Linked DNA regions of Macaca fascicularis. The main gene of each other region encodes a partner of the protein of the gene in region 2 in a complex. Links are inferred from orthologs where the notes say so. Each region holds a gene or a part of one and is shown on either strand. Other genes may lie near its edges.

What was found.
Region 1: PRPF31 (region 2) and LSM7 share a complex: the UniProt entries of both Homo sapiens proteins name them as parts of the U4/U6-U5 tri-snRNP complex. The link is inferred for Macaca fascicularis from reciprocal best matches to the Homo sapiens genes PRPF31 and LSM7.
Region 3: PRPF31 (region 2) and LSM6 share a complex: the UniProt entries of both Homo sapiens proteins name them as parts of the U4/U6-U5 tri-snRNP complex. The link is inferred for Macaca fascicularis from reciprocal best matches to the Homo sapiens genes PRPF31 and LSM6.
Region 4: PRPF31 (region 2) and PRPF6 share a complex: the UniProt entries of both Homo sapiens proteins name them as parts of the U4/U6-U5 tri-snRNP complex. The link is inferred for Macaca fascicularis from reciprocal best matches to the Homo sapiens genes PRPF31 and PRPF6.
Region 5: PRPF31 (region 2) and LSM5 share a complex: the UniProt entries of both Homo sapiens proteins name them as parts of the U4/U6-U5 tri-snRNP complex. The link is inferred for Macaca fascicularis from reciprocal best matches to the Homo sapiens genes PRPF31 and LSM5.
Region 6: PRPF31 (region 2) and PRPF3 share a complex: the UniProt entries of both Homo sapiens proteins name them as parts of the U4/U6-U5 tri-snRNP complex. The link is inferred for Macaca fascicularis from reciprocal best matches to the Homo sapiens genes PRPF31 and PRPF3.
Region 7: PRPF31 (region 2) and USP39 share a complex: the UniProt entries of both Homo sapiens proteins name them as parts of the U4/U6-U5 tri-snRNP complex. The link is inferred for Macaca fascicularis from reciprocal best matches to the Homo sapiens genes PRPF31 and USP39.

Annotation. Positions count from the first base shown.
Region 1 is NC_088393.1:2,987,873-2,992,460, forward strand, and holds the start of LSM7 (U6 snRNA-associated Sm-like protein LSm7), read right to left. Parts: upstream 3,068-4,588; 5' UTR 3,036-3,067; coding exon 3,030-3,035; intron 2,947-3,029; coding exon 2,856-2,946; intron 1-2,855. Other genes in the region: SPPL2B (signal peptide peptidase-like 2B), read left to right, coding at 3,188-3,253. UniProt on the Homo sapiens protein: Plays a role in pre-mRNA splicing as component of the U4/U6-U5 tri-snRNP complex that is involved in spliceosome assembly, and as component of the precatalytic spliceosome (spliceosome B complex).
Region 2 is NC_088393.1:61,930,327-61,934,368, reverse strand, and holds part of PRPF31 (U4/U6 small nuclear ribonucleoprotein Prp31), read right to left. Parts: exon of another isoform or gene 3,993-4,042; intron 3,406-3,992; exon of another isoform or gene 3,148-3,405; intron 2,992-3,147; exon of another isoform or gene 2,741-2,991; intron 1,942-2,740; coding exon 1,814-1,941; intron 1,711-1,813; coding exon 1,638-1,710; intron 958-1,637; coding exon 829-957; intron 745-828; coding exon 646-744; intron 1-645. UniProt on the Homo sapiens protein: Involved in pre-mRNA splicing as component of the spliceosome. Required for the assembly of the U4/U5/U6 tri-snRNP complex, one of the building blocks of the spliceosome.
Region 3 is NC_088379.1:151,041,154-151,044,251, reverse strand, and holds part of LSM6 (U6 snRNA-associated Sm-like protein LSm6), read right to left. Parts: intron 730-3,098; coding exon 616-729; intron 1-615. UniProt on the Homo sapiens protein: Plays a role in pre-mRNA splicing as component of the U4/U6-U5 tri-snRNP complex that is involved in spliceosome assembly, and as component of the precatalytic spliceosome (spliceosome B complex).
Region 4 is NC_088384.1:120,149,233-120,153,274, forward strand, and holds part of PRPF6 (pre-mRNA-processing factor 6), read left to right. Parts: coding exon 1-38; intron 39-1,388; coding exon 1,389-1,607; intron 1,608-4,042. UniProt on the Homo sapiens protein: Involved in pre-mRNA splicing as component of the U4/U6-U5 tri-snRNP complex, one of the building blocks of the spliceosome.
Region 5 is NC_088377.1:97,819,916-97,823,957, reverse strand, and holds the end of LSM5 (U6 snRNA-associated Sm-like protein LSm5), read right to left. Parts: exon of another isoform or gene 3,787-4,042; intron 3,367-3,786; exon of another isoform or gene 3,190-3,366; coding exon of another isoform or gene 3,111-3,189; coding exon 3,015-3,110; intron 2,422-3,014; coding exon 2,394-2,421; intron 1,534-2,393; coding exon 1,461-1,533; intron 1,070-1,460; coding exon 1,037-1,069; 3' UTR 581-1,036; downstream 1-580. UniProt on the Homo sapiens protein: Plays a role in pre-mRNA splicing as component of the U4/U6-U5 tri-snRNP complex that is involved in spliceosome assembly, and as component of the precatalytic spliceosome (spliceosome B complex).
Region 6 is NC_088375.1:110,908,382-110,911,597, forward strand, and holds the end of PRPF3 (U4/U6 small nuclear ribonucleoprotein Prp3), read right to left. Parts: intron 1,228-3,216; coding exon 1,081-1,227; 3' UTR 865-1,080; downstream 1-864. UniProt on the Homo sapiens protein: Plays a role in pre-mRNA splicing as component of the U4/U6-U5 tri-snRNP complex that is involved in spliceosome assembly, and as component of the precatalytic spliceosome (spliceosome B complex).
Region 7 is NC_088387.1:35,955,914-35,959,955, reverse strand, and holds part of USP39 (ubiquitin carboxyl-terminal hydrolase 39), read left to right. Parts: intron 1-2,010; coding exon 2,011-2,236; intron 2,237-4,042.

The DNA.
Region 1 (4,588 bases), about 59 Mb from region 2:
GGCAGTGACAGCTGATGGGGACAGGGCTTCCTCTAGGGGAGACGGAGTGCTCTGCTGGGACAGCGGTGGTGACTGCGCTGCCTGACCTGTGCTAGGTCCCTCAGTGAGTTCACGGAATACAGAAGAACAAATCCCAGCCCTGCAGCTCAGGGCTTGCGGGGAGCGGGCAAGAGAGATGCTCTGAGACCCGGGTGCAAAGGCTTTGGGGGCTGAGGCGGTTGCTGTGGCTTCTCTCTCCACGCTGCCTGCCCCACCCCCCAAGCCTCGCCGCCTTAGGTCACAACTTGGCACCTTGGGTTAGGGCTCTCTGACCCGGTGGTGACCTCTGCCATCTGATCCTGCTCCGCAGTGTCTGGTGACACTGAGAAGGATGAAGGGGGAGCTGTGTGTCCTCAGCAGAGGCCAGCCCACCCTCCCTGTCCGGGACTCCCGTCCTCTCCCCCCAGGCTCCTCCAGCCCAGGCCCAGGAGCGGTTCCGCCTCTGCGCTCACTGAGGGGCGTCCCTCAGCCACCCGCTCCCTACCCTCCTTCTTACCCCTGTCATCTTTCAGGTGCTTCCTCCAGACACCAACCCACACCCCTTAGGGTGCTGCCCTCTGCATGCCCCCCACCAATCTCAGGAAGCAGGCACCCCAGGCATTATTCTGCCCGCCTATCTTCTCCCAAGGCAGGGCTGTGAGCCTGTCCATGGCCGTTCTGCGCTGCGAACTACGACCAGAGGCGAAAGTGGCCCACCGCTCATCTCTGTATGCCAAAGTTTCACTGGCCCACCAGCACACTCGCCCGCTCAGGCACTGACCAGGGCGGCTCTCCTGCTCTGCGGGCATAGCTCACTGGTTGTGACAAGAGACCATCTGGGCTGCAAAGCTGAAGATATTTGCTGTCTGGCCTTCTACAGAGAAGGTCTGCCCACCTGCATACAGGCTTTAGCTCCTACCTCCACGGCTCCCTCTCTCTGCGCTCAAGTCCCTCCCCTGCAAAATGAAACCTGTCACCTATGAGATGGGGTCAGACGCAACGGTTCAGGTCCTTGGCACCAGCCTGACCAGTGAGCCAGCCCTCCTCACAGGGACAGATGTGAGCACTGAGGTAGGTAGGTCTCTAACCAAGGTTCCCCTCCCCGGGGTGTGGGCTCGGGCCTGTGACTCTGAGGGGACATGACGTCACTCCTGCACTTAGGTTATGCAGCTGTTTAAGCCCCTGAACCAGCTGACTTTGAGCCAATCTAGAGGGAAACACCCTGGGTGAGCCTGACCATATCAGGTGAGTCCTTCAGGGAGCAAACCCTTTCTCTGCTGTGTGTGTGCGTGTGTGTGATTTATTTATTTTTAGACGGAGTCTCGCTCTGTCTCCCAGACTGGAGTGCAGTGGCGCGATCTCAGCTCACTGCAACCTCTGCCTCCTGGGTTCAAGAGATTCTCCTGCCTCAGCCTCCTGAGTTGTTGGGATTACAGGTGTGCACCACCACGCCCAGCTAATTTTTTTGTATTTTTCGTAGAGATGGGGTTTCACGAAACCCCATGTTGGTCAGGCTGGTCTCGATCTCCTGATCATATGATCCGCCTGCCTCAGCCTCCCAAAGTGCTGGGGTTACAGGCGTGAGTCCCTGCGTCCCGCCAAGAGCTGCAGCATGCATCACCAGCCCACTGCCCATGCGAATGCTTCCTGCCCTCTGAGAGCTCGCCCTGTCTTCACTAGATTCCATGGAAGAGTTGCAGGCAGAGGCAAGCATCAGGTTAACATGCACGAAACCGCAAACGGTGACAGGTGCTACCAGGATCCTAGAACGATGGGGGGCCTGACGCCAGGGTCAGGGAGGGCTTCCCAGAGCAAGCACCTGTGGAACTTGTGCTTCTGCCGCCCTTTGCAGTCATAATCAGAAGTATGGATTCGGATTTTACTCCAAAACAACCGGGAGCCTCAGAGGTTTTCAGCAGGGAGCAAGAAGCCTCCATTTCTTTTTCATTAGGTGCCTCTGGCCGCTGAGTGGAGACTGACCTTAGTAGCTGTGATTCCCAATCACAGCTTGGGGGTCGGGGGGCGATCCTATCCCCAGAGAACACTAAGCAATGTCTGAGGCTATTTAGGTTGTCACAACTTGGTGGAGGCCAGGGATGCTGCTCAGCACCCTGCAGTGCCCCAGGACGGCCCCACTCCAGAGAATCCGGCCCCAAATGTGTCCACACTGCTGTGCGGGAAAGACCTTGACTTAGAGGGAGGAAGAGGAGAAGCCGGGAGATCTGTGGGGATCTGGGGCAGTCCTTGGACACACAGGACTGCTCTGGAGGCCAAGCCGGAAATCCCAATACCGGCTGCGCCACTGTGACTTTGGATTACGTTTGTTTCCCGCTCCTTGCCCCAGTTTCCCCGCCTGCAACATGGCCATACCAGTTCCTACCTCCCGGCGTAATTCGGAAGCCTGCACAAGGTAGTCGGCGTCAAGCGTGTAAAGAGGCGCCTCTGCGGCGGCTCACGCCTGTCATCCCAGCACTTTGGGAGGCCGAGACGGGCGAATCACTTGAGGTCAGAAGCTTGAGACCAGCCTGGCCAACATGGTGAAACCCCGTCTCTACTAGAAATACAAAAATTAGCCAGGAGTGGTGGCGCCTGTAGCCCCAGCCACGCAGGAGGCTGAGGCAGGAGAATCGCTTGAACCCGGGAGGCGGAGGTTGCAGTGAGCTGAGATCGCACCACTTGCACTCCAGACTGGGCGACGGAGCGAGACTGCGTCTCAAAATAAATACATAAATAAAAATAAATAAAAGAGGCGCCTCTGCATGCATCCTCATCACCTCTGTTGCTGACTTTATTTTAAAATTTTAAAGGGGGGGTGCCAACGGCGGGAGCCGCCTCACCTTCGCGTCCTCCCTGAAACTTCACCCGGATCGTCTTGTCGATGTACTTGGACAAGTCCAAGATGCTCTCCTTTTTCTTCTTCTCCTTATCCTGCGGGGAAAGCAGAGCGCATGAGGCCTGGAGCGCGGCCCGAGCCCCACGCCCCCCGGCTCCGGATTCTGCCGCGCGCTCACCGCCATCTTGTCGCGCCGTGAGGCTCTTCGCAGACACCGCCCCGTGCCCTGTGACCTCTCCCCTCCCCCCCACGCGCATGCGCGGCGCATGCGTGGCCCGGGGTCTCGGGGCGTTGCTGGGAAACATCTGCCGACGGTTGCGGCGGGCACCGGCCGAGATGGCGGCGGTGGCGGCGGCTGCGCTGGCGCGGCTTGTGGCGGCCTTTCTGCTCCTCGCGGCCCAGGTGAGCGCGGCACCGGTCCCGACGGCACCGCAGGCTGCGGCCCTTCGGCCTCTCGGCCCCGAGGCTACGCGCAGGAACGACCCCTCTTGGCCCGTCTTGGGGGTCCAGCCTCGGGGATCCGCGGTCCCCTCGTTGTCGGCCGGCGGTGCCGGGGCCCGGCCGTGACCTTGCGGGGCTGTCCCCGGCTTCTCTCCCTTCCCCGCCTCGGAGGCCCTCCGCCGCTGCAGCGCCCCTCACTTCCCACCGGGCCTGAAGTTTGTGCCCCCTCCATCTCCCTGTTCTGCTTGTCCGTTTCGGGGTCTCCAGCCGCCGCGGGGGACGCCTCTCTCCCGCTCTGTGGCCTTGGGCAGGCGGCCGCCCACCCCGCTCCGAGCCTCAGTTTCCCTTTAGGCGGAATGGCCCGGTGCTAAGCTAACCTCACCCTAGGGGGTGCGGTGGGGGAACCCAGAGGCGTCCCGCGTGTCCCCCAGTGACTGGCCAGCATCCTGGAGCGGCCAAGAGCCCAGCCCTGCACTGGGGTCGTATTCCCGCTCCATCTTTTACTCCGTGACCTTGGACGAGGGAATTCCCTGCTTTGAGCGTCAGTTGCTCGTCTGGAGAAGGGGGGTCGACTATGGTGTGGATTCTGGAGATGCTACCCAGGGTGACCAGCGCCTAGGGACAGCACGCCTTCCTTATATTCATTGTGTATCCTTTGATGTAGAGTGTCAGGTTCTAGCGGGGACAGTCTACGAGATGGCACTGTCGTAACTGCATCTTTTATTTTCTTAATTCCAAATCTTACCTCTTACCTGAGTTTGGTGGCTCAGGGAATGGAACCCGGAGCAGCCTCACAAATGCGGCCCTTAACCTTCACTCCTCTCTCAGAGTTCTCTTAAGGCGTCGCTGCCACTGGGCTCCTTCTTAGTCTCCACTCTTCCAGCCCCACCGCCATCCCCCTGCTGTGGCTGCCTTTGTCCCCCACATCCCTAGTCCATCCTCGACACAGCAGGAGTGACCCTTTCAAAGTATGTCAGTCCATGTCGCATCTGGATGAACGTGCCGTCCAGTTGTGACCTGGCGCCAGGGAAGCCTGCAGCTCATTGCAGGAGCTTCGTTGTCTAGTCTTTTCTCTTACCCTGAAATGCCCGTGGTCTCTGCAAGGCTGGAGGGCCCCCTCAGAAGCTTTCTGCGAACCGCACCTCCACCCCCAGCTGCCCTGTCAGCCCCCTGGACTCCCCCTATTCTGAGGCCAGGGACCTAGAGACCCCAGACATTTGGAAGGAGGAGGAAAGCCAAAGGTGGAAGAAAGATAGAAAGATCACAGAACGCTGTGGAGGGAGGGACTCAGTTTGC
Region 2 (4,042 bases):
CGGCCACCCACTGGCTCCCTGAAGGTAAAACTTGTCTCTCTCATTCATCGCTTCATTCCCAGAGCTGGGAACACCGATGGAACTCAGTAGGTGCTCCACAGACATCCGCGGACTGAGCAAATGAGCTCGCTGCTGTCTCGGCCCCACGTGCAGGCTCGCCCTGCTCTGTGGATGGTAAACCGAGGCTCCGACGATGCGGTGACTGCCATGCTCGACGCCACTCACTGCTGACTGGCTGGGGCCTGGACCCACACGTGACATCCAAGCTCACCTAGCCGGGAACTTTCTCGAGTGGGGTCCTGAGGTTACCTTAACCGCCCTGGCCATTTTCAACTGGAAGGCCTGGAGGCTGAGCAGTGTAACCAGCTCACAGCCCCACAGAGAGGAACTGGATGCCCTGGACACAGCTGTGGGCCTGGTTCTAAAGCGGTCCGTGCTCATGAGGACTGCTCAGCACTGGCGTCTCGTCTCTGCTAACTTCTTCCTGTGTGCCAGGAGCTGTCTACGTCCTCTGAATACCTCGTCACCACGCCCTCCACGACAGCCCCGTGAGGGGACTCATCCTGGCCGGCTTCACAGGGGCAGAGGGCAAGGGGCCTTGCCAAGGTGTTGGGGCTGGGGACAGAGCCGGCCCAGGGCAGGTACCTGGAGTGGGGTGAAGGCCACGCTGGAGGCCGTGCCCGAGGAGCGGTCGCGGATGGTGGACTTCCCGCCGTACACAACGCTCTGCTTCTGCAGGGTCCGCTGTGGGGAGGACAGGGAGGCTGCGATCTGGGCTCCCCCCACCCTGTGTCTCGGTCCCCAGCCCCACCCAGGTCTGGCCCATACCTGCAGCGTCTTGGAGATCCTCGCCTTGGTGGCCTCGTTGACCTGCGTCTGCCGCACGCGCCCACTGCCCGACTTGCCCAGGTGGCCCAGGCTGAATCCCAGGTCCTCCTGGTAGGCGTCCTCCTCAATCTAGGAGGAAGGGGAGGCACCCTGCAATTCAGTGACCAGGCCCTGCCCTCCAGCCACTGAGGCACCCCCTCGACCAGCTGGAAGCCTAGCAGTCACCAGCCGGCTGGTCCCACGGGCACCTGCTCAGGTACCCACTTGGCCCGGCTGAGGCCTGAGGGCCCCCACAAGCGGGGGATGCTGGGGAGCCTGAGAGGGGCTGGGTCCTAGCACTGCTCTGTGAGCTGAGTCGAGAGGCCATTCCTTCCTTCCTCGTGTGGATTGGGGGGTGTCAGGAACCAGAACAGGTTTCATAGGATGAGGTGGCCTCTGAGTTGGGTCTTGCAGGACCAAGCGGATGACGTTGGGATAACAGAGGAGACTGGCGGGGCCCGGGAGCGGGCGGCGGTGCAGCAGGGCACTGCGGAGCCTCTGGGCAGGGAGGAACCAGCCAAGGAGCCCGGGGCGATGGGAAGCTGCAGGGCTCTAAGCGCGGGAGACACAGGCTCCCAGGGTTACAAGGGTCACTTTGGGGCTGAATGGATGGAAATGAGAGTAGAGGCTGGGGGATGAGGGAAGAGGCTGGTACAGCACCCTAGACATGAGCCAGGGCCACAGGACGAGAGGAGGGACGGTGGCAGGAGGCAGAGGGCGGTGGCGGCTGGCTGCCTGTGGGGGTGAGGAGGGCGCTGGGGGAGTCTGACCTCTCCGAAACTCATCCGGTTGGCCTGCTTCCGGATCTCTGTCAGCCCCAGCCGCTCCTTCATCTTGCGGTACCTGGGGACGGATGGGCGGGCGGTGCCAGGGAGTCAGCTGGGAGGAGGACGCTGGCCTCTCCTCTCCATGACCCCCACGCCTACTGGACCCCCGGGCCTCTCACCTGCGGCCGCCTCGCTTCTTCCGCTGCCCATCCAGGGGCGCAGGCAGTGGCTTCACCTGCTTCACGGGGGGGGGCTCCTGCCACTTGTCAAATTTGCGCTCGATCTCATCCTTCAGTTCGTAGCCCACCTGGGGAGGGCGAGGGGGAGGTCCTGCAGCTGCTCACGTGCGCCGCCCACCCAGACCTCCTCTGTCAGCCGTCCGCCTGTCCACCGAGCAGACAGACTGCCCACGCCAGGGCTCCTCTGTCCGCCGTCCGCCTGTCCCCCGTCCGCCTGTCCCCCGAGCAGACAGACCGCCCACGCCAGTGCTCCCTCCCCGCTCCGGGGCAGACAGACCGCCCACGCCAGGGCTCCGTCCCTGCTCCGGGGCTCTGGGTTTTCAGTTCTGTCAACAACCGGATGGCCTCATCTCGGCTCATACCTCTCCTCTGGGATTTTTTTTTTTAAGATACAGTCTTGTTCTGTCGCCCAGGCTGGAGTGCAGTGGCATGGTCTCCGCTCACTGCAAGCTCCGCCTCCTGGGTTCGAGGGATTCTCCTGCCTCAGCCTCTCGAGTAGCTGGGACTACAGGCACCCACCACCACGCCCGGCTAATTTTTTGTATTTTCAGTAGAGACGGGATTTTACCATGTTGGCCAGGCTGGTCTCTAACTCCTGACCTCGTGATCTGCCCGCTTCGGCCTCCCAAAGTGCTGGGATTACAGGCGTGAGCCATCATGCCCAGCCTTCCTCTGGGTTCTGTACCCTGTAAACAACTGTCTCCTTGACATTGGGATCGTTAACAGGCCCTTCAAAGGTATAACAGGGCTAAACAGAATTTCTGGTCCTCCTCCCCAGCCTTCCACCATCTGCCTTCCTTCTCCCGGTACAAGCAAACGGCAATGCCCGAGAGCCGGGCAGCTGACTCCACTGTTTCTCTCCCACGCCGCAGGTCCCCGGGGACGACTCCTTCAGAACCAATACCAAATTGGCCCCCTTCAGCCCCTCCACTGCAGCCAACGTTCGCCCCGGGATGCGCAGCCTCCATGCTGCCTGCGCCTGGATTCCGCCAGGGCCTCCCCTCTCTCCTCCAGGGCTCGCTGCGCTCTAGCCTCAGGGCCTTTGCATCGGTCATTCCCCCTGCTTGGAAGACTCTTCTCCCGAGTATCCATGTGCCTTGCTCCTTGGCTTCACTCAGGTCTGGGTTAAACCCTCAGCTCCTCAGAGCCCTGGGTCTTCCCTGACGTCCCAGTTAAACCCTCACCTCCTCAGGGCTCTAAGTCCTCCCTGACATCCCAGGTAAATCAGCACCTAATGTCGCCCCCACCCCAACCCCCTTTCTTTTTCTTCTTAGTGTTGACTTAGCACCGCTAGACGCAGGACAGATTTCACCTGTTGACTGTCTCCTCGACCCGGCCCCAACAAGAATGTCCCTGCCACGGGGCAGGGCTCCTGTCTGTGCTACTCACAGCTGCACCCCCACACCCAGACCAGGGGTGAGATGGGGAGAGGGAAAGGAGAAGAGGGGGACACGGAACACTTGAACGCCAGGCCAGGCTGGGTGCTTGGCAAACGACAGTTCACAAGACAGAAAATGTGTCTCCTCTCCCGAGTACGTCTACCAAGGAAGACAGAAAGTAACTGAATAATTACTTGAATAACATCCCCTGTTGCAGCGGGGACAGATCCTGGTGCGGAAGACAAATTATACCCCCACCAACACACACATGCCCAAGGAGGTCCATGTTCTAATTCCCAGAACCTCTGAATGTCACCTCACAGGGCAAAAGGGACGTGAAGAGATTAAGAAGGATATTAAGGATTGTGAGCTGGGAAGACTATCCTGGACCATCTGAGTAGGCTCAGTATAGCCACAAGGGCCCTTAACATAGAGGGGGGAACAAAAACAGAGGCCAGATATGAGACAGAAGCAGGGTCAGAGAGAGCTCTGAGGGTGCTATGCAGCTGGCTCCGCACACAGAGGGAGGGCCACGAGCTAAGGGGTGCCAGTGACCCCTAGAAGCTGGAAAGACAAGGGAATGGATTATCCCTTGACTCCCCTAGAAGGAACCCTCCGGGCTGACACCCTGACTTCAACTTAGTGAAACTTATTTTAGACTCCTGACCTACAGGACCACAGATAATAAACCTGCACTGTTTTTTTATTTTGTTTTGTTTTGTTTTGTTTTTTTCTTTTAGATGGAGTCTCGCTCTGTCACCCAGACTGGAGTGCAGTGGTGCAATCTCAG
Region 3 (3,098 bases), on a different chromosome or scaffold from region 2:
GGTAATTCTCGTAATTCTGTTATTTTTCCCTCCCCACCAAAAATACAAATGTGACTTTATCATAATTTTCATTTTGAAACTAGGTACTTAAAAATAACTATAAAAATCATAGCAATTTATTAGTTGTTAAAAAACTGAGTAACTTTATTTTTTCTATTTTGCCATTTTTGCCAAATCAAAGGATGCAAATCTGCACAGAAAGCATCTGAATGTTTAATAGAGAAGGGACAAATAGGACAAACTGCCAAATTATGCAAATTAAAGACAGCAGGGAAATGGTGCCCATTCTTACAGCTGCAACTTCCAGGCTACAAGAAGCAGGAATATGTGTTGGGGAGATAATAATACACTATATTCAAGAGAGCAGGGTTCCGGGTCAGGAGAACAATGCCCCCAGTTCCTCATCACTAAAGGAAGGGAAGGAGGGAATTTTAGTTTAAAAATTCCATGATGTATCTAAAAAAATAACTGGTCAAACTGACATATAAGCATTTTAAAATAATCAAGCCTAAAACTGGACTTTTAAATTATCTAGTAAACTCTTTGGTGATCTGGATTATAAACAGAAAGGCTTATTTTGAATGAATGCTGTACTGTAGGGTGAAGAAATGTTACCATTGTTTCCTCGGATAAATGCATCCCCATACTTATTCTTCAGTTGTCCATTTACATATTCTTCTGTCTGCTCCAGGGCTATATTCATGTAGCCATCCAAGCAAGCCAGGACCCCTGTAGACATATTTAGTCAAAAAGAAGAAATACAAGGCAAGTAGGAGTTGAAAATTACAGGGTATACCTTAGAGCAGACAATCTCTTTATTCATTAGCTCTTAGATGCTTAATAAAAAAATTCATACCCTAAATGAAACTCAACAGCTTAAGCACAAAACAACTCTAGGCCAATCTGAATGAAGACTAGGAAGGCAGTCACGCACCCACTACTACCCAGTAAAACAACAAACTGTCACTTCCCTCACGGTATGTATGACCACATAGCAACTTTTAAAGCATTCAAAAAAGTAAGAGAATAAGACTAATCCAACAAAAATACCATTCTGTGAAAGCTAAGCACAAGGTGGGCAATTATGCATGAACAAATGATCCTTGGTTCCAGTGGCATTTCCTACTTCAGCCACTAAGTGAAATACGGGTCTGGCAGATTTATTTCATCCTTTTACAACATCTATTGCAGCAGATGAATGTACTCCAGGGTTAAAAGGAAGTCTCCACAATCTGTTAAAATAATAGAAGAGGAGACAGCAGGTGCTCCCGAAAGAACATCTTAAAGCTGTGACTCACAGTGAAGAGCAGCTTGAGAATATAGGGCAACATATTGCATTATAACACATCTTGTTCTGTTTTGTTACAGCTATAATATTTTCCAATCAAAACTAATAGAGAAAATGGCCAAAAACATTTGAGGGAGCTTTCAAGGAAACAGTTTGAGTGAATCTTTAATTGTGTTAAGATGGTATAAATTTTGTAAAATTTGACCTAATGATCTTTTTCAAAAGATGAAAATCTGCAAGCCTCTAACTCTGTCTCTAATTTCAAGTGGTATTTTCTAGAAAAAAAAATTTAAGTAAAAACAAATACTAGATTCAATTAGTCGAGTCTATAAGTTTCTCATTTGATGTCTTAACTTCATTAATATGCTCCTCACTCTCTGCCTCTGCCCCCATTATCCTCTAAACAAAAAAGTTTCCTTTCAAAATTGTGTGTGTAATGACAGCATAAGACATTAATCTACCAGAATTCTGCTAAAAGCGGTAAACTCTCAAAGAACCAGAATGGACTGTGAATAATAAAATTATTTCCTAGCCAAAGAAAGCTTAAGCTATAACTTTAGCTCATTTCCTGCTGTATTATTTTACATATAAGCCACAATTATAAATGAGCAAGAAACTTCTGAGGCACAATATGCAAACCTGTTCGAAAACTAATGAAAAGAATTTCAAAATGAAATGTCCAGGCTGGGCACAGTGGCTCACGCCTGTAATCCCAGTACTTTGGGACACAGAGGCAGGCAGATCACTTGAGGTCAGGAGTTCAAGATCAGCCTGGCTAACATGGCGAAACCCCGTCTCTACTAAAAATACAAACATTAGTCGGGCGTGGTGGCGGGTGCCTGTAACACTAGCCACTCGGGAGGCTGAGGCAGAAGAATCATTTGAACTTGGGAGGCAGAGGCTGCAGTGAGCCAAGACTGAGCCACTGTACTCCAGCCTGGGTGACAGAGTGAGACTTGGTCTCAAAAAAAAAAAGAAAAAAAAAAAGTTCACTTCTAATTAAAGTATCTGTTCTCACAGCAAAGGCAAAAAACAAAAAACAAAACAAAAAACAAACAAACAAAAAAAACTGCCCAGGGGGTTAGAAATATAACCGTTTCCTTCTCCATGAGATAACCTCCTATACATAACCAAAACAAGACATTTTCTTACACAGAAACTGCTACAGAGAGTTGGAGGTTTTTCTTGTATGTTGTGTTTTGTTTTGGGTTTTTTTTTTTTTTGGTGTTTTGTAAACCACAAAATAAGCACGTTCTTTTAGTAAGGCTATCTAATAGTATAGAACATTTTGTTTTAATCGTATAAAGGCCACAAACAGACATTCATAAGAGGAAAAAAAATTATGGTTACTATCCATGTGAAAGACTGCTGAATCTCACTAGTAAACAAATAAAATATATGTAGAATGAGATATTACTTGTTGCCGATTAGACTGGAAAAGATGAAAAAAAGCTAATACAAGAGTTGGTGAGAACATGAAGGATAAACCCAGGTTCTCTGAAGCAGGGCCATGGAATACTCTCTGACTTGTAAATCCTAGCTCAGGGAATTGATTCTAAAGAGATGCTTGGTCAACTGTTCACAATATATGTCAAAGTAAAAGAGTTGTTTACAGTGGCAAAAAACTGGTCAACACCTAAATGTCCATTAACAGGAAACTGGTTAAAAGTAAAAACAAACTATGGTACAGCCACACAAGAGATTCCTATGCAGTCATTAAACCCTCTATATTGTCATAAAACTAAATGCATTGTTTCATGTTTAAAAAAAAAAAAATCAGGTTGCATGTACAGCTGATTCCATTTATGTC
Region 4 (4,042 bases), on a different chromosome or scaffold from region 2:
TGAGTCGGGCTGTGGAGTGCTGCCCCACCAGTGTGGAGGTGAGTCTGGCGGACTCAGGGCCACCAGAGCCCAGAGTGGCCAAGGCCCGAGCCCAGGTTCTGTGTCTGGAAGTGATGATGTAAGTGGAGCATTGAGCTCACTCAGGCTGCGCTTTCTGGGAGCAGAAGGCCGTCCGGAGCCCCAGGATACCGTTCTGTGCACAGCTGCCAGGCAGGGTGGTGAGAGGCTTCCGCTAGTTTTGCTGTTAATGGAAGTGCAGAGAGAATCTTAGCTCGTACCTGACCACTGCAGAAAGTTCTCTCAGGCGCCATTTCCTCTCCTTCAGCCCAGAGTTTGTCATGGGAGCCGAAGGTGGGAGGGTGATAGAAAACACTGCTTTCTGCCAGCCCCGCGTGACTGCTCTTTGCCTCCAAGCTAAGTGGGATTTCTTTGGTTTTAGGCATTCCAGTTCACAGCATTCTGTGCAGTGATTTTTAGTCTTGGTTTTATGATACCTAGTATGTCTTCAATTATCCTAAGGGGTATTGTGAAATTCTCCAAACAACATTAATCTTGTTTTATTTACATAAAAATGAATAAAGCCCATACACATCTTAGGGATGGAGTGCTGCAGAGCCAAGAGTCTGGGAACTCCAGGAGGCTGAACACCCTTCCGTGTGTTTAGCCCATGAGGGCAGTAGCCTCATCCTGCCCATCTGTGCCAGCCCCTGGTATCAGGTCTGGCGCTCTGTGTGCCTGGAGGCAGTGTTTGTTTGTGGAGGCAGTGTTTGTGGAGGCAGTGTTTGTGGAGGCATGTTTGTGGAGTCAGTGTTTGTTTGTGGAGGCAGTGTTTGTTTGTGGAGGCAGTGTTTGTGGAGGCATGTTTGTGGAGTCAGTGTTTGTTTGTGGAGGCAGTGTTTGTTTGTGGAGGCAGTGTTTGTGGAGGCATGTTTGTGGAGTCAGTGTTTGTTTGTGGAGGCAGTGTTTGTTTGTGGAAGCAGTGTTTGTTTGTGGAGGCAGTGTTTGTGGAGGCATGTTTGTGGAGGCAGTGTTTGTTTGTGGAGGCAGTGTTTGTGGAGGCAGTGTTTGTTTGTGGAAGCAGTGTTTGTGGAGACATGTTTGTTTGTGGAGACATGTTTGTTTGTGGAGACATGTTTTTTTGTTTGTTTGTGAACATTCCACTGAGAATCTTTTCCTGCTCACCAGAGTCACTAAGTCAGTCAGAAGCATCAGTGAGCAGTTGGTCAGGTGAGATGTGCTGCTGTGGACGCTTCTCAGGCCGTGTTCAAATGGCTCTCGAGAGCTAAGAAAGAGCGTTGTGGCCGTGCTGCAGGGTGGGTCGCTGTCTGGCCTGCATCTGTCCCCTCAGCACAGTGTCCTCTCCTTTTTCTGGTGTCCTCTCCGCGTAGCTCTGGCTTGCTCTGGCAAGGCTGGAGACCTATGAAAATGCCCGCAAGGTCTTGAACAAGGCGCGAGAGAACATTCCTACAGACCGGCACATCTGGATCACGGCCGCTAAGCTGGAGGAAGCCAATGGGAACACACAGATGGTGGAGAAGATCATTGACCGAGCCATCACCTCGCTGCGGGCCAACGGTGTGGAGATCAACCGCGAGCAGTGGATCCAGGTGGGCCGCAGGCGGGTGTCGTGGTGTCGGCTTTAACAGTGTACGTGCCGCACGTGGGAGTCCCACGCAGGACTGGGGGCTGCTGAATGGTGCTGGGGAGTCCTGCGCCCAACCGGAAGCAGGCACAGGTGTGGCTGGGCCCTGAGCGACCTGGGCAAGGCCACTGTCACTCTTGATGGATTCAGGCCTTGAGTTCGTCTTGGGGTGAATGCTTCGGAAGCCCTTTCAGTGTGTGCACACCTGACTGCATTTCTTTGCTAGTAGAAATGATACATCTGAGAGTCTCATGGCTTCTTCCACTCTTCCCCTCTCCCCCACACCCTTTTTTTTTGAGATCGAGTCTCGCTCGTCACCCAGGCTGGAGTGCAGTGGCCACCTTGGCTCACTGCAAGCTCCGCCTCCCGGGTTCACACCATTCTCCTGCCTCAGCCTCCCGAGTAGCTGGGACTACAGGTGTCTGCCACCATGCCTGGCTAATTTTTTGTATTTTTAGTAGAGATGGGGTTTCACCGTATTAGCCAGGATGGTCTTGATCTCCTGACCTCGTGATCCGCCCACCTTGGCCTCCCAGAGTGCTGGGATTACAGGCCTGAGCCACCGCACCGGGCCAACACCCTTTTTTTTTTTTTTTTTTTGAGAGGGAGTCTCGCTCTGTCACCCAGGCTAGAGTGCAGTGGCGTGATCTTGGCTCACTGCAACCTCCACCTCCTGGGTTCAATTCTCCTACCTCAGCCACCTGAGTAGCTGGGATTATAGGCACCTGCCACCATGCCCAGCTAATTTTTGTATTTTTAGTAGAGACAAGGTTTCACCATGTTGGCCAGGTTTGTCTCGAACTCCTAACCTCAAGCAATCTGCCCGCCTTGGTTTTCCCTGTCTTTTAACTGTGTCTCTAGACTTAAGGCTATAGAAAAGTCTCCAGAGGTCATCTAACTCAGGAAGTAAGACTTGGGTTCCCTTTATTACCTTCTTTTTAGGAGTCACCCTCTGAGTTATGTTTCTCTCCAGAAAAATAAATAATGAAATTATTATTTCTGTTTTATTTTATGACAGTCCTTCCTTCCTCCTTCCCTTCCTTCCTTCCTTCATTCCTTTCCTTCTTTTTTTTTTTTTTTTTTTAGTTCTTTTTTTTTTTTTTTAAGGAGACAGGGTCTTGCCGTGTTGCTCAGGCCGGAGTGCAGTGGTGCATTCATGGCTCACTGCATCCTTGATCTCCTGGGCTCAAGCGATCTTCCCGCCTTAACCTCTCAAGTGGCTGGAACTACAGGCATGTGCTACCATGCTTGGCCAATTTTTTAATTTTTATTTTTTGTCTTGTTATGCTGCCCAGGCTGGTCTTAAACTCCTGGCCTTCAGGGATCCTACCACTTCAGTCTCCTAAAGTGTTGAGATTACGGGCATCAGCTGCCATGCCCAGCCTGTGACAGTTTATTAAGCTATGATTAGCGTTCTATAGAATCCACCCATTGAAAGTTTACAATTCAGTGGTGTTTAGTATATTCACAGAGCTGTCCATCTGTCACCACAATCTTAGAACGTTCTCATCACCCCAGAAAGAAGTCCTGTGTCCGTGAGTTGTTGCTCCCCGTTTACTCACTTCTGTAGCCTTTTGTTTGTTTGTTTGTTTTCTGAGACAGGGTCTGTCTGTCTCCCAGGCTGGAGTGTGTGGGACAATCAGTCTTGGCTCTCTGCCACATTTGCTTCCTGGGCTCAAGCAGTTCTGCCTCAGCCTCCTGAGTAGTTGGGACTACAGGTGTGCACCACCACACTTGGCTAATTTTTTTCTGTCTTTTGTAGAGACGTGGTTTCGCCATGTTGTTCGGGCTGGTCTCAAACTCCTGAGCTCAGATGATCCACCTGCCTCGGCCTCCCAAAGTGCTGGGATTACAAGTGTGAGCCACTGTGCCTGTCTAACCTTGCTTTTTTACTTTGTCTATACGTTTTGTTTCTGGACATTTTATATACAGATGTTCAACTTATGGGCTTATATCCTGATAAACCCATTGTAAGTTGAAAATATCGTAAGTCTAAAATGCGTTTGAGGCTGGGTGCTGTGGCTCACACCTATAATCTTAGCACATTGCAGGGCTGAGGCAGGCGGATCACTTGAGGTCAGGAGTTTGAGACCAGCCTGGCCAACATGGTGAAAGCCTGTCTCTACTAAAAATACAAAAAAATTAGCCAGGCATGATGGTGGGCACCTGTAATCCCAGCTACTCAGGAGGCTGAGGCAGGAGAATCGCTTGAACTCGGCGGACGCAGAGGTTGCAGTAAGCCGAGATCGTAACACTGTACTCCAGCCTAGGCGACAGAGCTAGACTGTCTCAAAAAATAAATAAAATAAAATAAAATAAAAATGTGTGTGATACACCTAACCTGCTATACTTTGTGGCTTAGCCTATCTACTGGGTTAAACATACTCAGAACACCTACCT
Region 5 (4,042 bases), on a different chromosome or scaffold from region 2:
AGGCTAAATAATTTATAGTAAATCCATTTAATATTATGTATACATTAATGTTGAAATATTTGACATGGAAAGATATTCACCATTTAAATTCAAAAAATGGCTTAAGTGGAGAATAAAAAATCAGGATGAACAAGTAAAATAAAATGTGTACTGAGAGTGGACTGAGAAAGTCTATGAAGACATACAGCAAAGCATGATCAACCTTCTCCTTTTTGCTTACTTATAATCCTACGATGTGTGTATATTACCTGTTTGTTTTTAATAGTTCTTTGACTTAATTTATACAGTTCTATGATCTTATTATCAGTTCCTTGATTTTACCTGAGTCCCAGAGTTCTTAGCTGTTTTTAGTATCCTTTACCTTAAAGCTCTGTCTCCACTAATTTCCTGGCAATTCAGTAATAATTACATTAAGGTAATAACCCTCTGAACCAATTTTATAAACAAATAGATAAAATTTGTATCTTTAGGGAAATTCCAATAGATAATTCCCGCATTTCTACAATGTGCATATATTACCTGTATATTGTTTGTTTTCAATAGTTGTTCATGGAATTTGAAATCAGTAGAAAAATCCTCATTACAAAACAACAGCATTTTAATTTAATTTTCTAAGTGATCATTTCCAGTTGTTTAAATGCACCTGTTCAAATCAAAGTTCATCATTTTGTCTGGAACGACTTTTGTTTGAGAATCAAATGGTCATGTAAATGAGAAAGCAAATAAGCATATAATGACAGAAAAGTAAGTGGCAAAATAACCACAATCTTTGTTCCACTGGCTACTGCAGTACAATAAATAAAATGACAATTAACCAAAAACACCTTTATTTTCGTCTTCAAAGAAGAAGCTCTTTTCTTCTTTTTCCAGGATAATCATGATTAACTTACAAAAATGGGTACACATCTTCAAAGCACTTCCCTTTAACGGGAAACTTAGCTTTACGGGATTTAAACATTAGAAGGTGGGGGAAAAAAATTCCATTTTCTTGTCATTAAAAGACAAAACAGAATCTAGCTAAGTCAAGAAAACTCATTCACACTTCAGGTCCTTCTCCTCCAGGAACCAGCTGCATAAAGAGGAAAAAGAGTTTATTAGTAACACAACAACCATGTCATCTAAAAATCCCTTGCTCTTCCTTAAGCCACCTTTGCCTGTCCTCTGCGCTCCACATTCCCATTTTCTCCAGATTGTCAATATCTATTCACAATTTCCAACATCATCAATTAATACTTACTATCTCAACAGCGATTAAAAATTCGAAGCAAACTAACCTTTAGACCCAATGCCTCTTCAATAGCTGAGCTTTAGGGCCCTGACCACAGAGAACACCCTTCCCATCTTACGCACCACTGGGCCATGATCATTTAGTTAAGCAAGCAACATTAAGGTTAGTTCTATAATCACTGCCCCAGAAAAATGGGCTCCCATCTAAACAAAACAGTTTCAATGTGTCTTACCATTGTTATATTATTTCCATTTAGCAAAATCTGATCTAATTTAGTAATCCTTCTTCCTTCTGGTGTGATTTCACTAAATGAATAGATAAAATACAGTCAGGATAAACAGTGAAAATCAAAGCCAACATTTTGGAAATACTTTCCCTCCCTAAAAAGGTGATCCTTGTATACAAATTACTCTGAGGTTGGGCAATTATATCGACAATTTTCAGTTACAAAGGTTATCCACTAGGTAATGTAACCTTCATTAAAAGCAACAGAATGAACTCACTGACCTAAGATCCACATCTGTCAGACAGAGCTTCATAAAAAGAAGCCAAAGCTTGCCCAAGAAATCAAATATGAAATGAAATGTTTTTTGGGTTTTGTTTTTTTTTTAAGAGACAGGGTCTTGCTCTATTGCCCAGGCTGAGTACAGTGGTACAATCATAGCTCACTGCAGCCTAGAACTCCTGGTTCACGGGATCCTCACCCTCCAGAGCAGCTAGGACCACAGCTGCCCCCCACCATACCCAGCTAATTTTTAAATTTTTTATAGAGACAGGGGTCTCCCTTTGTTGGCCAGGCTGGTCTCAAACTCCCAGGCTCTATCCTCCTCATTAGGCCTTCCAAAATGCTGGGATTACAGGGGTGAGCCACCATGTCCAGTCTAAATGCTCTTACTATCAGTTCCTTGATTTGACCTGAACCCTAAAATTCCTAGCTCTTTTATCTTCTACCTTAAAACTGTCTCCACTAATTGTCTAGGAGTTTACTAATAATTAAATTAAGGTAATAACACTGATCCAATTTTACAAGCAAACAGATAAAACTTCTATCTTTAAGGTTATTCTACCAACAGGTAATGTTTTCTCATAAATAATTTTACTCAAAAGTAGTAAAACTGTCTTTAATTAAGAAGAGATTCCCCCCCAATTCTTTAACACTACTCACAACTCAGTGACATCTTCCAGTACCATATCTGAAATTTGGTGTTAAGAAAACAAATAGAGAATTTACTCCAGCTTCTGCCTTTGTTCAGCTTTTCTTTTCTTTTCTTTTGAGACAAAGTCTCGCTGTGTTATCCCAGCTTAAGTGCAGTGGTACACTCACACCTCACTGCAGCCTCCACCTTTTGGGCTTAAAGGATCCTCCTGCCTCGGTCCCAGAGATTAGCTGGGCCCACAGGTGTACGTCACCATGCCCAGCTAATTTTTGTAATGTTTGTGGAGACAGGGTTTCATCATGTTGCCCAGGCTGGTCTCAAACTCCTGGGCTCAAGCGATCCACCCACCTTGCCCTCCCAAAGCGCTGGGATTACAGGTGTAAGCCACTGGGCTCGCTTGTTCAGTTTTAATTATAATGTTTAACACAACGGCTCAAATTCAAAATGTTTGTTGTTGATAGGAACTTTACCGTCTTTCAATACATACCTCTTAAAACATTATCATAAGTTCCCTGAAAATGAACTGATTTTATTATAATAATCACAAATATACTGATTGTCTATAGTTCTTACGTTATTAAATACTTAAGAAAAACCTATACCACCACCACCACCTTTTAAAAGGATACTGACAAAGTCATCAAATCCTAGAAGAGTACCAACAATTTCCTTATCACTCTTCATCACAATGTGAATTCTTGATCCTATACATTTGTCCACAAGTTCTGAGGAGGGAAAAAATATTATTTTACCATTCATTATTTCAACAAATATTTGAGTGCCTACTGGCACTCTTACTTGCATATAGTGAAAGAAAAACCAGGAAAAACATTCATTCAATAACTTTAGGTCTTATAATACAAATCTCAGTTTAAGCACAGCATCTGGCGCGTAATGAGGATTCCAAAAGAGTCTGTGGCATGAAGGAATGAAAACTTTTCAATCACGGCCACGACCACTAGTTCAATCACTCTTCACCAGCTACAAAAACATAAGAGGAGATAGGTATAATTATATTCACCGGAAACTCTGTCACTGCTTCCCTCCCCCAACTCTGTCTATCCTCTGTGCTCTGACGGCAGCTTGAACATCTCTTTTGCCAGCCTAGCATTATGTAGCAGGATGTCTACTTGTCCAGTATTCTCTCCTCCACTGGCTTGTGTGCTATTTGAAGGCAATGGCTATGGTTTAAGTTTATCGTTGAAAAATGCCCAGGCACGGTATCTCGTGTATAGATACTCAGTTACTACTTATTGAATGAATAAATAACAAACAGAGCTAGTTTCCAGATTCCTCATTTAAGGCTCATTCCGGACCAGGGTGTTAGTGTCAACCATATACATAACATGGTCTATCTAATCTGGGGATCTTAAAAGCCAGGTTGAGAAGTTGGCCTACTACCTATCACACTGCAGAGGCGGGCTCACAACAAAGGAGGCCGACAACACGTTCACTAAATGTGGACCTTCTCCAGTGACAGTCTGCTTTGAGGAGTCAGAAATCCTTGCCCGGAGGAGCCCGACCACGTTAAAGAGCAGGGGCGGCCTGCTGCCTTGAAGACTTGGAGCCGAGAGTCGAACCGCATTTGGTCCTATACATTTCCCCACACTCGGCCAGGGCCTGCCTCGGAACAGCCCCTCGGCCCCTAATCCTGAAC
Region 6 (3,216 bases), on a different chromosome or scaffold from region 2:
ACTCTGACCAGTACCTGAAATACAGATTTTTTTTTTAAAGGGAATTTTATAACACAGAATGTTTTAACTTCTTGTCAGACATCCATTCTCAAATACCAATTCATAGCATGCTCCACCTAGCAAGAAGGTATGGGAGCTCTATTGACTTGTTTAATCCATTCCCAACACAGGCAATATGAAACAGAAGGATAGGTATGGTAAAAATTTTGGACTTCAATAGATAACTTATGCTGACTCATATACTCCTAAAATCAAACCAGAAACATTAAATGCTGAAATAAAACCAACCACAGGTAGTCGGATTCATAGATAGAAAAAAAAAATTACACAATTTCTACTAGAAGTGAATTTTTAAACTAGTAAAAGAGACAAAATGGGCTAAATTCTTAAATCCTATTCCACTTTACAAACTGACCCATAGCATCCTCCTTGGACTCTCCCTGTGTCCTTTTTACCCACAACACACATTCCCACATATGCACCCCTTAGAGGAACTGATTTCCTGGAAAGACTACTTAGCCAAGTCCTGAGGTAATCTGTCTGACCTGGTGATTCTCTCAGTTAAGGGATGGATACTCATTTGTCCCTCCTCTCTCCCTTACCACTTTACACATCTCCCTGCTTCATTCTGCTCCAGGAAAACAGTATTTCTCATTCTAGCTCCAGGATGAGATCAGACATTTCCACTAGACTTCAAAAATACACATCCATCTATCCATCCATCCATTCATCCATTTATATATATAAATAAATGTCAATGACAAAAAATTTTTTTTCTACAGCAATTGCTAAAAGTCTGGAAAAAAGATCACCTGGAGACCCAAACTCTAGTACTTAGGAATGTGTGAAAAATATCACACCAAGTTTAAAAATAACTCTTTAATCATATGCACATAAGGGGAATAAAGGGCAACACCAGGCTGACTCGGGAGGGGAGCAAGATATTCTCCCTTTGTCCCAGTGTCTGCTTGGCACAGTTCTGAGATCACACAACAAGTGGGAGTGGGTTGGGAAATAGAATAAGTGAGAGGACTGAAGAGACAAAGGCAAGGGGGGGAGAGGCAAGGGCTTGCAGTAGTCTCAATCAGTGGACTCTAACACAGATTCACTCAGCGCAAGGTCCCAGTAGTGTTCAGCCCCATGCTTTTTGAAATGCTCACGAGCCATGTTCTCTGTAGGACACTGTTTAAACTTCATCTCTCCAAAGCTCCGGTCTTTGGCTGTACCCTAGGAAAGAGATATGTAATAAAAACACTTCAATTTCTTATTTAAATCAGATATAATATTCTTTTATAAGACCTAGTAGGCCGGGCGTGGTGGCTCAAGCCTGTAATCCCAGCACTTTGGGAGGCCGACACGGGTGGATCATGAGGTCAGGAGATCGAGACCATCCTGGCTAACCCGGTGAAACTCCGTCTCTACTAAAAAATACAAAAAAAACTAGCCGGGCGAGGTGGCGGGCGCCTGTAGTCCCAGCTACTCGGGGGGCTGAGGCAAGAGAATGGCGTGAACCCGGGAGGCGGAGCTTGCAGTGAGCTGAGATCCGGCCACTGCACTCCAGCCTGGGCGACAGAGCGAGACTCCGTCTCAAAAAAAAAAAAAAAAAAAAAGACCTAGTAACATTTGTGAGACATGTGCCCAGCTGAACGTGATTTTATGGTTAAAAAAAAAAAACTGTGACCTCCATTTCCTTGGATATTTGTATGAGTTTTTATGAATTCATATGTATAAGGTTTTTAGATTTTTGAAATGAGGATGAGGAATTCTTTGCTCTGGTGCCTGGGTGGAACAGCAAGTCAGGAAGAACTATGGAAGGTGGAATGAGATAAACTTATCTCCCACCAGGCCTTCAGGACTAAATTTGGGCCTTCAAAAAGGCCCAAAAAACTATTTATACAAGCAGAAGGCTTTGGGGCCCAGCAACAAAGAACAACTCCGGGTGGGGAACAGAAGAAGAGCAGGTACCAGCAGAGAATTACAACAAAAAAAGACAGTACTGGGTAGAACGGCATTCTTGCCAAAGGCACCAGCAGCAATGGCAGTCATAAAGCACTACCTCAAGAGGCTTTCAGGGAGTAGACTCCAATAAGGAGGCTGGAGCAGAACTTGGCTTATTTCTGAATATGAAAGACAATTCCTGAAAACTAAATTCCTACAACATTAATACTGGTTCTCTAAGAAGCCGCGACTTTTTCAGTAAGTACTCTTCGGAGATAAATAGAAGAAAATTGAAAAGAGATGAGGGGGCTGAGATATGTGAAGATATGGGCGCAGTAGCTCATGCCTATAATCCCAGCACTCTGGGAGGCTGAGATGGGAGGATCAGTCAAGGCTAAGAGTTCGAGACAAGCCTAGGCAACATAGTGAGACTGCATTTCTAAAAATTAGCCAGGCACAGTGGTGTGGACCTGAGGTCTCAGATACTTGAGAAGCTGAGACTGGAGAATTGCTTGTCCCTAGGAGTTCAAGGCTGCAGTGAGCTATGACTGCACCGCTGCACGCCAGCCTGGGCAACAGAGCAAGACCCTGTCTCTAAAAAAAAAAAAAAAAATTGGCCGGGCACAGTGGCTCAAGCCTGTAATCCCAGCACTTGGGAGGCCGAGGCGGGTGGATCACGAGGTCAGGAGATCGAGACCATCCTGGCTAACATGGTGAAACCCCGTCTCTACTAAAAATACAAAAAACTAGCCGGGCGTTGTGGCGGGTGCCTGTAGTCCCAGCTACTCGGAGGCTGAGGCGGGAGAATGGCATGAACCCGGGAGGCGGAGCTTGCAGTGAGCCGAGATCACACCACTGCACTCCAGCCTGGGAGACACAGCGAGACTCCGTCTCAAAAAAAAAAAAAATTGATTTAAAAAAAAGATAATATGCAGGTGGGAACTTATTAAACAGAGAAACAAATACTATGGTTATTATCATCTAATTTGTATGCATAAATTGAAGAATCTGGGATAAGGCAGAAGGATACATGAAAACCTTTTTTTTAATTTTTTTTTTTTTATTGCTCCTTCAGAAGAAAAACTATTAATAGCAATTACCTATAAAGACTGGTCTGAAGAGATCAGAGAGAATAGGAAGAGACCTTTTGTTTTTGAGAAACAGTCTCGCACTGTCGCCCAGGCTGGAGTGCAATGGTGTGACCTCGGCTCACTGTAACCTCCGCCTCCCGGATTCAAGCGATTCTCCTGCCTCAGCCTCCCAAGTAGCTGCAATTAC
Region 7 (4,042 bases), on a different chromosome or scaffold from region 2:
ACGCCCGGCTAATTTTTTGTATTTTCAGTAGAGACGGGGTTTCACCATGTTACCCAAGATGGTCTTGATCTCCTGACCTCGTGATCTGCCCGCCTCAGCCTCCCAAAGTGCTGGGATTACAGGCATGAGCCACTGCACCCGGCCAGTGCTCTCTGTGTTTTGAGTTGTCTTCCTTAGAGATGCCTGAGTTTATTACGTTTAGCAGAAGCCCTTCTAGCTGACTCCCTGAATAGATGACCTTGTTTAAGGAAGAAATGTGTTCATGGTAAGCACAGTGCTGGTCAGGAAGGATCTGTGGGGATACTGCATTTTTATTTAGGGTCTGCTTGGTCCTCCTCTTCCCAGTTTTGTTTTGCTTTTTTGAGATGGAATTTCGCTCTTTTTGCCCTGACTGGAGTGCAATGGAGCGATCTCGGCTTACTGCAACCTCTGCCCCCGCCGGGTGATTCTCCTGCCTCAGCCTCCCGAGAGGCTGGAATTACAGGCACTCACCACCATGCCCAGCTAATTTTGTATTTTTAGTAGAGACGGGGTTTCACCGTGTTGGCCTGGCAGGTCTCAAACTCCTGACCTCAAATGATCCACCCGCCTTGGCCTCCCAAAGTGCTAGGATTGTGGACATGAACCACCACACCCAGACCCTGCCTCCCAGTTTTGTAGCTCAGGCTAATGAGCCTGTGTTTCTTCCTGAAACCAATATGGCTAATTTTTATCTTTCTGCTTAATGAGATCCATTTTGCTTTTATTGTCCTAAACCTTTTGACCATTTTCTCTTTTTCTTTTCTTTTTTTTTCTTTTTTTTTTTGAGATGGAGTTTTGCTGTCGTTGTCCAGGCTGGAGTGCAGTGGTGCCATTTTGGCTCACTGCAACTTCTGCCTCCTGGGTTCAAGTGATTTTCTCTTGCCTCAGCCTCCCGAGCAGCAGGGATTACAGGCACCTGCCACCACGCCTGGCTAATTTTTGTATTTTTGGTAGAGAGGGGGTTTCACCATGTTGGCCAGGCTGGTCTTGAACTCCTGACCTCAGGTGATCCTCCCGCCTCGGCCTCCCAAAGTGCTGGGATCACAGGCATGAGCCACCTCGCCTGGCCGACCATTTTCCATCATAACAGTATATTTACTTTTTAAAAAAAATTTTGGCTGGGCACGGTGGCTCAGGCATGAGAATTGCTTGAAGCCTGGAGGCAGAGGTTGCAGTGAGCTGAAATCATGCCGCTGCACTCCAGCCTGGGGGATGGAGCAAGACTCTGTCTCCAAAAATAAAAAAAAATTTCAATAAGTTTTTGTGGAACAGGTGGTTTTTGGTTACATGAATAAGTTATTTAGTGGTGATTTCTGAGATTTTGGTCACTCATCGCCCGAGCAGTGTATACTGTACCCGATGTGTAGTCTTTTATCCCTCACCCCTCCTCACACTCTTTCCCCCAAGTCCCCAAAGGTCGTTGTATCATTCTTACTCCTTTGCGTCCTCACAGCTCCCTATATTTACTTTTATGTACAATTATATGGTTTTATTATGGGAAAACATCAAATTTTAAGATAATTTTCATATTATTTTAGTGTGGAGTTGAGAGATGGGAGAACTGTGTTTCCTAGGTAGTTATTTGTGCTTCAGCCAAAATGGATGATTAAGGAAAGGGTATTTGGATTTTACCTTTCTACTCTATGAATTTAAGTATTGTCACAGCATAATTAGAGTAACAAAAGGAAATTGTTGAGTAAGTTGATAGAGATTTGAATACCTGTGGGTTTTTTTTTTGTTTTGTTTTAACCTTCTTTGTGGTATCCACATCAGCAAAGTGTCTGTAGAACTGTAGGTCATATGAAACTCAATATTAATGATATTTCTGTAATGTGAGCCTGGGTAGGATTCTCCAAGGGTCGATTTACTTTGGCTCTTTAAGGCCATCACAGGCACATCACAAGATTCTGTTAGAACTTTAGTTGGAAGAGCTTGGCTCAAGGGGTCCTACAAAGGGGCTTTGGGTTAATCGGAGTGTTTGATTTTCAGGCTCTATCTAATGTTCCTCCTCTCCGGAACTACTTTCTGGAAGAAGACAATTATAAGAACATTAAGCGTCCTCCAGGGGATATCATGTTCTTGTTGGTCCAGCGTTTTGGAGAGCTGATGAGAAAGCTTTGGAACCCTCGAAATTTCAAAGCACATGTGTCTCCCCATGAGATGCTTCAGGCGGTTGTACTTTGCAGTAAGAAGACTTTTCAGATCACCAAACAAGGTAAGAACAAGTCATTTATGTTTCAGGACAACAAAACTAGTTTGATGAACAAATTTATTTCTACTTGGCAGTGAATTTTTTTTAAATTAATTAATTTTATTTTATTTTTTTGAGATGGAGTCTCACTCTGTCACCCAGACTGGAGTACAATGGCATGGTCTCGGCTCACTGCAGCCTCCGCCTCCAGGGTTCAAGTGATTCTCCCACCTCAGCCTCCCGAGTAGCTGGGACTACAGGCACGTGCCACCATGCCCGGCTTATTTTTGTATTTTTAGCAGAGACGGGGTTTCACTATGTTGGCCAGGCTGATCTCGAACTCCTGACCTCGTGATCCACCCTACTCGACCTCCCAAGTTCTGGGATTACAGGCATGAGCCACTGCGCCTGGCCTTTTTTTGTTTTGTTTTGTTTTGTTTTTTTAAGAGACAGAGTCTTGCTCTTTTGACTAGGCTGGAGTACAGTGGTGGGATTTGTAGCTCACTGCAGCCTTGAACTTCTGGACTGAAGGGATCCTCTTGCCTCAGCTTCAGGTAGCTGTGATTATAGGCGTGAGCCACTGTACCCAGCTGCAGTGAATCTTGAGAGTAGCCAGGAGTGTCCAGTGGATTGTGTGGTTAGGTTCCTCATTCTCCTCTGACCAGTCTGCCCTGCTAAGAGTCCCAGGAGATTGTAGCTGAATAGAAAGTCGGTCTTATTTGGTAAATTAAACTGTATGGCTTAGGGGAATACCAGGAGACTGGGAAAGACACTAGCTTTTATTAAACACCTGTCACCTATCCTCATTTTTTCATGTCCCGCATTAGGATATTCTGATGATTTTTTTTTTTTTTTTTTTTTGAGACCGAGTCTTACTCCATTGCCCAGGCTGGAGTGCAGTGTTATGATCTGTGCTCACTGCAACCTCTGCCTCCCGGGTTCAAGGGATTCTCCTGCCTCAGCCTCCCAAGTAGTTGGGATTACAGATGCCCGCCAACGTGCCAAGCTAATTTTTGTATTTTTAGTAGAGAGGGGGTTTCACCATGTTGGCCAGGCTGGTCTTGAACTCCTGACCTCAAGTGATTCACCCACTTTGGCCTCCCAGAGTGCTGGGATTATGGGTGTGAGCCACTGCACCCAGCCTCTGATGAACTATTTTGACTGTTTTTATCTCTCCAGACCCAATGTGTTATTGCCTTATGAGTAAGGCGGACAGTGTAACTTTGTACCTGAATCTCATATCATATCGTCTAGCATCCATATTAGTTTGTTCAACATTCACTCATGGTGCTAGGTTTTAGAGCAGCAGGGATAAAATACAAGATTTTTCTCTTTGAAGAACTCACAGTCTAGTGGGGAAATAAAGTTATGTAGAAAGATTGAGTGTGCTGGCACAAGCCTGTGGTCTGAGCTGCTTGGGAGGCTGAGGCAGGTTGCGTGAGCCCAGGAGTTCAAGGCTACAGTGAGCTATGATCACACCACTGCACTCCAGCTGGGTAACGGAGGAAGACCCTGTCTTTAAAAATAAGTAAGCAGGCTGGGCGCGGTAGCTCACGCCTGTAATCCCAGCACTTTGGGAGGCCGAGGCGGGTAGATCACAAGGTCAGGAGATCGAGATCATCCTGGCTAACACGGTGAAACCCCGTCTCTACTAAAAATAGAAAAATTAGCCGGGCGTGGTGGCGGGCACCTATAGTCCCAGCTACTTGGGATGCTGAGGCAGGAGAATAACGTGAACCCAGGAGGCGGAGCTTGCAATGAGCTGAGATTGCGCCACTGTACTCCAGCCTGGGTGACAGAGCTAGACTCCGTCTCAAAAAAAAAAAAAAA